2 linked regions of the Drosophila melanogaster genome follow. The protein of the gene in region 2 purifies or fractionates together with the protein of the main gene of each other region. This does not show direct contact. Each region holds a gene or a part of one and is shown on either strand. Other genes may lie near its edges.

What was found. Proteins that work in one complex are often made in the same cells at the same time.
Region 1: the proteins of Spc105R (region 2) and Cenp-C purify together in Drosophila melanogaster (affinity purification with mass spectrometry; 3 studies listed by BioGRID, with this or other methods). This does not show direct contact.

Annotation. Positions count from the first base shown.
Region 1 is NT_033777.3:8,562,114-8,565,866, reverse strand, and holds the start of Cenp-C (centromeric protein-C), read right to left. Parts: upstream 1,763-3,753; 5' UTR 1,613-1,762; coding exon 1,611-1,612; intron 1,539-1,610; coding exon 1,031-1,538; intron 970-1,030; coding exon 1-969. Other genes in the region: CG31460 (uncharacterized protein), read right to left, coding at 2,503-2,924, 2,981-2,984; mRpS18A (mitochondrial ribosomal protein S18A), read left to right, coding at 3,359-3,455, 3,552-3,753.
Region 2 is NT_037436.4:20,798,296-20,802,048, reverse strand, and holds the start of Spc105R (Spc105-related), read right to left. Parts: upstream 1,640-3,753; 5' UTR 1,571-1,639; coding exon 1,544-1,570; exon of another isoform or gene 1,507-1,543; coding exon of another isoform or gene 1,483-1,506; coding exon 1,379-1,482; intron 1,327-1,378; coding exon 581-1,326; intron 505-580; coding exon 1-504. Other genes in the region: tzn (tenzing norgay), read right to left, coding at 2,059-2,906, 3,061-3,259; CG3698 (uncharacterized protein), read left to right, coding at 3,698-3,753.

The DNA of each region.
Region 1 (3,753 bases), on a different chromosome or scaffold from region 2:
AGCAGTCTTTCGCGGCTTTGACTTTTTGGCATTGACCGACTTGTGAAGGTTAAGCAAGCGCATAGAGCTCTCCTGAGATTCGATTGTAGCTCGAGCCCGATTACTACTGCGCAAACGCCGTTGCCGGGTTGTGTTCCCACCTGAAGGAGCTAGATTTAATGGCACAGTGCTGGGATGTTCGTCGCTTTCGTCGTCGGTCATTATGGCATCCATATTTTCTTCCACCCGCGGCAGTTGTGCAATGGATTTCTGGGGAGAGGCAGCGGCGGATCGCCTAGGAGAAGGCGCAATCGGTGGTGAAGATAACGCCGTAACTGGCGAAGTCGGAACAGATTTCATTGCGACAGCGTCCCTTCTTACACTACGATTCGAATTGGATGTGTTTATCACCACAATTGGGCTGATCGCGCTGCGCGACAGAGTCTGCACCAACTCTCCCAGATCCTGCGGCTGGGTTTCCGGCACTACGAACTCCGGTTGGGGCTCTGATTGCCAGGCTGGGTCGTGACTTTGTCGCTCTGGCGTGTCCGGGACCATTAACTCCTGATTGAACCGCTTTGCCTTAACTACTGGCATTTTGCTCGGTGTGTCATAGCGATGTGATGGCGATAGCAGCAGCTGGCCTGGAGCTGGGCCCTTTTCCATTGTGTAGGTACGTCGTAGGCCCGCAACGGATGGTGATGACGGAGTAGGGGGTCGCGAGTACGGTGCCCGTCCAGAATAGTCCAGCTGCAGTACATTCTTGTGAAAGGAACTCTGTCGCTCTTTGCAGATTTGTTCAATTTCAGCTGCAAGAATAGGGTTCCTGGCAGGTGAGGTCACCTTTGTCTGCAGCGGATTTTCCGGCTCTGGTTCTTGTGATAGTTCCATAGGTTTTTCCGCTGGTTTATCAGTTTCCACTCTTGTTGTATTTTTGGCAACTTCCTCTTTTTGTTTCTCTGTGCAAGGTGTGCTGCTTATTTCTGGTAACTAAAAGAGCATTGTTGTTAGTACAAGGATTAGGTATTTGTGGGACATGTATTTAACATACGAAGTTTACAGGACTTGATATGCTGCGGGTCAAGTTTACGGTCTCCTCAAACTCTGGAAGCAATTGGCGTCCACAGCTCCTGGACCGCCGGCGGATGGCATGTCGACGTAGTTTATCAGATCCGGGTACATTTCCACTGCGGCGCATGGAACGTCGGTTATTGGGCGACAATGTTGGCGATCGACGCGGAGGCACGTTCTCATTGGGGGCCTGGTCCACAGGCGGCTCATTGACTTTCTCGGTGGCGGCACTGTTTTTGCTGACCAACTCCCCAAGGGGCTGTACTTCTGGTAGTTTGGACTTGGGCTTAGCCTGAGACTTCTTGATCAGTGGAACCTCGAAATCAAGGTCAAAGTCAAGTTTGAAGTTTCCAAAGAGATTGTCATTCTGTGCCGGCTTATTTTCGGCAAGCTTGCGCATCATAAAGGCGGCGAAGCGCTCCTTGTCCTTCACTGGCTGGCTTAGGATGTCGTCCAGCTCCAGAGTGTCGTTGTTCTGGGGCTTCGACCTGAAAAACAGACGGGTGAGCTCGGAGTTTGTATGTTCTCTTGCCTATGGCATGCTCGCGGTGGCAACTTACATATTTGCAATTGAAACTTGAAAAAAGGATTCTTCACGAAGTTACATACACGACAACAATAAACTTAACTTATTTCGCTAAAACTCCACAAAATTTTAAACTACAAAAAAGACGCGACGCTATTCATTTGGCGTTGCCAGTAACGTCTGTAGGCGCGCCTAGGTGGGGTGTTGCCAGAGCGCTCGAATAGACTATCAGAAAAGAGCTATAAATATCTAAAAGTTTCTTTGATAATAATAAGACATCACCCTGTATAATTACAAATGCATGATGCAATCGTTTTTAAACAGTTATTGTTAAATACAGCTGAGTTTATTTCAAAAGTTTTTATTGAAAATATACTCGAAAGCGTTGACCAGCAGGCAACCATTATATGCAGTATTTCATTACTAAAATATACTAAACGCGTAAAACGCAAGCTGGTCACACTTTGCCGGCAATTTTTGTTGACAAAACAAATCCAAAATGTTTAAAGCAAACTAAACCGACTTTTCAGATTGATCTATTTGTTCGAATTCACTTTATAACAACTGGAAGCAGCTTTGAAAAGCAACCAAAAAGTGGAGCTATACATTTTCTGCGAGAAGGCATGCAATAGAGACGCTGTGAAAACGACTTTGCGTTCGAGGTTTTGATTCTGTTGGAAAAGGATTACGATATCCATATAACCAGAGATTGGAGTTTTTTAACTGAATTCATGAATTCCCAATAAGATCCCCTATTCCACAGCACCAATACTCAGTAGTATAAGGCTGGCCAACTGTAATAATGGAGCTTGGATAGCTTCAAAGTGACCGATTGACATGACTTTATAAGTTAGTTATTTATTAAAGGTTATTAAAGATTAGGTATTCGAATGTGTTAGTAATGAAATAAGAAGCAGACGAATGGTTCATTTGAACTTCTTTCCGCCCTTTCTCGTCGTAGGAGCATCCACGCTGGGCACCTGAACGGAGTAATACTTCGTGGAGATCCTGTTAAGGAAGTAGAGCCCCACCAGGGAAAAGAGAACACTGGTGGTGGCGCAGACACGATGCACGAGTCCCGCGGCGGCCACCGTGAGTGAGAGACAGAAAATAATCTCTGGTAGCAGCTTGGCCTGGAAGTCCTGGCCGAAAACAACCATCTCCGCGTTGGAGACGCACGTGAGGCTCAGGATGAACACCCAGGAGAAGAGGTATCCGCCCAAAAGGACCCTCAGCTGCGAGTCGTTAAACCATTCTGAGCAGAAACGCAGTGTGCCGAACAAAACAATGCTCAGGAGGCCCGAGATGATGGAGGATACCACGGTGCTCTTACTGCTCACTGAAGCGGCTGCAAAGGTTCAGAGTTTAGTTTTTGTTGGCCGTAATTTCCTTGCATTTGCTTACACATATTACTTTTTCTTCCAGCCGGCGTCTTTCTTATACGTGTAGTGAATTATCGAACTATCGAAACTGATATTTGATAATACAAGGGATATTCCAGTATGTAACGACTAAACAAAGTTTTATTCGTTAGGCAGGCATTTTTCTCTATTTTTTTTACGTATTTACATGAAAAATTCTCGAATGACAAATTTGTGCTTGCAATAAAAATAAAAACAGATATCGTTATTTAAATACTGACATCGATAATTTTTTTTGAGAAGTAATATTTAAATCAATTGATGTGGCAACGCTGCGGCTTTCGTGGTGAATGACATTTGTAGTAACAACATTACACTTGAGCACAATTTTAATAAATTGTAAATAAAAAACGCCTTCAACATGTCCTTTGTGTTGCAATTGGCCACCAGGACAGTACGAAGTACCATTGCTCAGGTGCGTGGCGTAGCCACCACAATGCCAAGGCAAATAAAAGAGAGTGAGTTACAGAGACCTCTGTGAAGTGTTTCATAACCCCTCAAATAAATGCACATCTTTAAAATTAATTCGAATTTCTGTTCAATGCCTGTTCCAGTTCATGAGAAGCAGGAGAACAGTGTAAAGATCTTCGAGGGCGTTAATGTGGAATCGCCGCGTGCTCACCTGATGCTTAAATCCGCCTGCCAGACCAAGTTTTGCCCGGAATGCACCTTGGGCCTGGACATCAAGCACACGGATGTGCTAATCCTGTCGCAGTATGTCCGTTCCGACGGCTGTATGCTGCCCAGAAGGATCAC
Region 2 (3,753 bases):
ACGTATTTCTCGACTGCGTTTCGTCGCCTAGTCTGGCGTGGGCCAAGAAGTTTGTATTGTCAAGCATCATCTCATCCGCCTGGGATAGTCGATACTTCTGCTTCTCATCCGCCGCCTTTAGTTTCTCCTTGTTCTTTCCAACTGGACTTGTTTTCGTCGGCGTCAAGGTCATGTTCTCACTGAAATTTAACATTCCTCGTGGCACTATGCTTCTTATATCTTTCTTTGGACTATTATCTCCCGCGCTCTCCTCTTCAAGGCCGCACCAAAACCGATTTTTCTTGGCCTTACGATCCGTGGTCGGCGTTTTTGGCCCGTTCGGAAATATCTGGATCTTACCCGTCTCCAGGTCTTCGTTGAGTTGACGAAAATTGAGTTTCTTGCTTATGTTTTTCCCCGAAATCATGTCGAATGGTATCAGCATCGACTCATCTCTCGTAAAGTTCATGGTGCTATTAAGGCTCTCAAAGGAGTTCGATGGCGAACGATCTCGGTTATTGGAAACTGCAAAATAATGTGACAACCGAAAACTTGCTAATTAGAAACTATTGGGAAGGGATTTAACTGAGATAATACTAACCATTTAATGAGAAGGATGCACCTCCAGCTCCCTGTTGGGTTTTATTCTTGGTCTCCCCCACGTCCATGAAAAGCGATTTCTGCGCCGGAGTTTTTGTCTGGTTTTTGGTGGACTCACGCATCTCCCTTACAATGCTGTCCTCTTCGAGCTCCATTAAACTTTGTTGAGTTGGAGGATATAGAGTTGCAACTGGAGCTGGAGCGGGAGCAGCAGGATTGGGATCAGTAAATCCCAATGGCGTGATGTCCATGAAGGAGTCACTCACAGCCTTGACAGCTGGCGTGAATACCACCTTCTCCAGTTTGTTTGTTGCCACTTTGATGGAGGATTCCTCACAAACGCTCGACGCGATTTGGTGGCGGTTGACGAGAGATCCGGATATCAGATCCATGGTCTTGTCTACCAGCTGGCGGTCGCTGAGACTGCTTTGCAACAGTTTTCGCTCCTCGGAGGTCATGCAAAAGGACACAGCAGAGATTGAGGATGTCTTCCTCGATTTGTCCATCATTTCGCAGGGCAGCAGGGTGAAATCCACGCTGGCCTGCAGATTCACGGACAGATCGACATGTTCCCGCTCGCAGTGGCTGGGCAGGGGAATGTTCTCCTTGTCGGCATGTTCGGAAACCCTCGCTACTGATGCTGATCCTGTGCTGCAGCACTTCGATCCCGAGCTGTCCTCAGCATGGTGTTCCGACACCTCGTACGAGTCGTCCCAGTTGTTGGTCTCCTTGGTGTTTACGAATTCCCTATGTGGAGGGCGGGTGAGCGTTGTACATCGCATATATCTACTGTACGTACCTCACGGACTTCTTGCCACTGAAACTGATGCGTCGCTTGATTTGTTGTTTGATCGCGGACGTTGTTGTGGTCGCCTCATCTTCCTTGGTCGGCACCTTACGCAGCTGCAAGAAGAGTAGGTCTACCATGAGCGCTTCTCAATCAATTAATTTTCGAAGAACCCACCGAACTTCTGCGTTTGTTTGCGTTCATCGCGCCGTGCTGTTAACTTGTTTTTATTTCAAAATCCCATTGGAGAGACGCCGCGATTTTTGTGTTAATGGCAGACGGTGTTGCCAGATCGTTGGCGATAGATCGCTAGAAATACCAAAAGTATTTTTGATATGCCCAAAAGGCACTAACGCCTAACCAAAACCGTTGTGATTCAAATTTTACGAAATTTGCTAAAATCTTTGGATTTAAAAAATTTGTTAAGTTCATTGCTCTATGAATAAAGTTGGAATCAACCAGTACCCTCTTCTCTAGGGTGTTGCTAGACCAAAATACCAAAAATAAATTCTTTTAAATAAAGCTGAAGAAATAAATTTATGTCATAATTTGAATAAAACAAAAAAAGTTTTAATCCGATAAATTGCGAATAATTAAAAATCCATTGTCCGCACTTCACACACATCGTTAATTTTATTAACCATTAAAATCCAATATTAAATCACAAGTTTCGAAACTTTCGAGGAAATAGATCAGGCTTTGAAGGTGTCCTTTTCCTTGCGCAGCTTGCCCATGGTGACGACGGGATCGGTGGCTCCGCCAGCGTGCTTCTGCACGGTGGCTTCGTGAACGCGCATAAAGGGGTTCCAGGACTTCTCCTCGCCAATGGTGGAGGGCACAGTGGGATCCTGGGAGGCGCGCCGGTGCTTGGCCCACTCGATCCTCTGCTGGATGACCTCGTTGTCGGGCTCGACGTGACGGGCGAAGCTCATGTTCTGCAGCGTGTACTCGTGGCCACAGAACACCTTTGTGGCGTCCGGCAAGGCGGAGAGCTTTGTGCACAGCGCCTCGTACATTTCCTCGGGAGTGCCCTCGAAGAAGCGGCCGCATCCGCCCTGGAAGAGGGTGTCGCCGGTGAAGACGGCTCCCTCGCCGCTGCCCTGCTGCGCGGTGATGTGGTAGCAGATGTGGCCGGTAGTGTGGCACGGCGTGGACAAGCACTTGACATGCAGACCACCAATGGTGAAGGTGTCGTCCTGCTGAACCTTTTTGTTCAATGCCCCGATGCGGTCATCGCCGCCATACACGTCCAGCTCCTTCTCCCACAGCTTGAGCAGCTTTTCATTGCCACCGGCGTGGTCCCAGTGATGGTGCGTGGTCAGCACCTTGCTGAGGGTCAGCTGCTGCTCCTGCACCGTCTTAATGACCAGCTCCGGCTCCACGGGATCCACCACGGCCGCCTCGCGCGTCTTCGTGTCTACAATCAGATACATATAGTTATCCTGCAGGGCCGGCAGGATCTTGATCTCCATGCCCTCCAGCTGCACGTCCTCCAATGTGCTGTGCATGCCTCTGAAGCCGACTTTTCGTAGTTTTTGCACTGAAACGAAGCGATGGTTTCACATTTAGCTACATAGATGGCCAACAGATAAACAGACTGACTAGCTACGGACGAACAAAAAGCGTAGATACTGGGAAATGAAATTGCAGCACCGGGAGAGATTAGATTAAACACGTATGTACGGATAGATTACGCTTGACGAGACTTGGACAGATGACGGGCACAGCCAGAAAACGCCGCCGAATCGCTCCGAAACCAGGGGCATCCGCTCGAGGAATCGTCCGCCAGGAACGCAGGAGCAGTGTCGGATTGCTGGACGAACCTCGGAAGTAGGTGGCCGTCAACTGGGTCTCCACGGAGGTGGCCACGCTGCGCCAGGCGGAGGCCAACATTCTGTACTTTCGGCTAGATAAACTGAAAAGCGTGTGCGATTCGAAATGAATTAATTATGGCTCCTAATTACAGTTGTTTTTTTCTCCAAATCTGCTATGCTCGGGCGAGTGTGACCGTTTGGGGGCCGGTAAGGGAAACCACTGACGGGTACACCATCTACCGGAAATATACCGAAACATACCTGCAAACGTAGTGGTGGCTCAAACCGGAAATGAAAAGTTTTATAGCACAGACATAAGCCAATAATAATAAAAATACATTTTTATATTAAATTATATATTCTTGTCTCTAGGCCAAAGAGTATATGTTCTCTTCTGTGGTAAAAAGCTTATAAGTTAACTTTTTGGCACGCCTAACTTGAATTCAGATCATATGTACGAAAAAGACGTCAGTTGGCTTTGAAGCGGCACGTCATAAGTTTAGAACATAAAGTCACTATGTCGGAATCAACCGATCCCCATTGCGCCACCTCCAAGTCCAACCTGATCAAGGT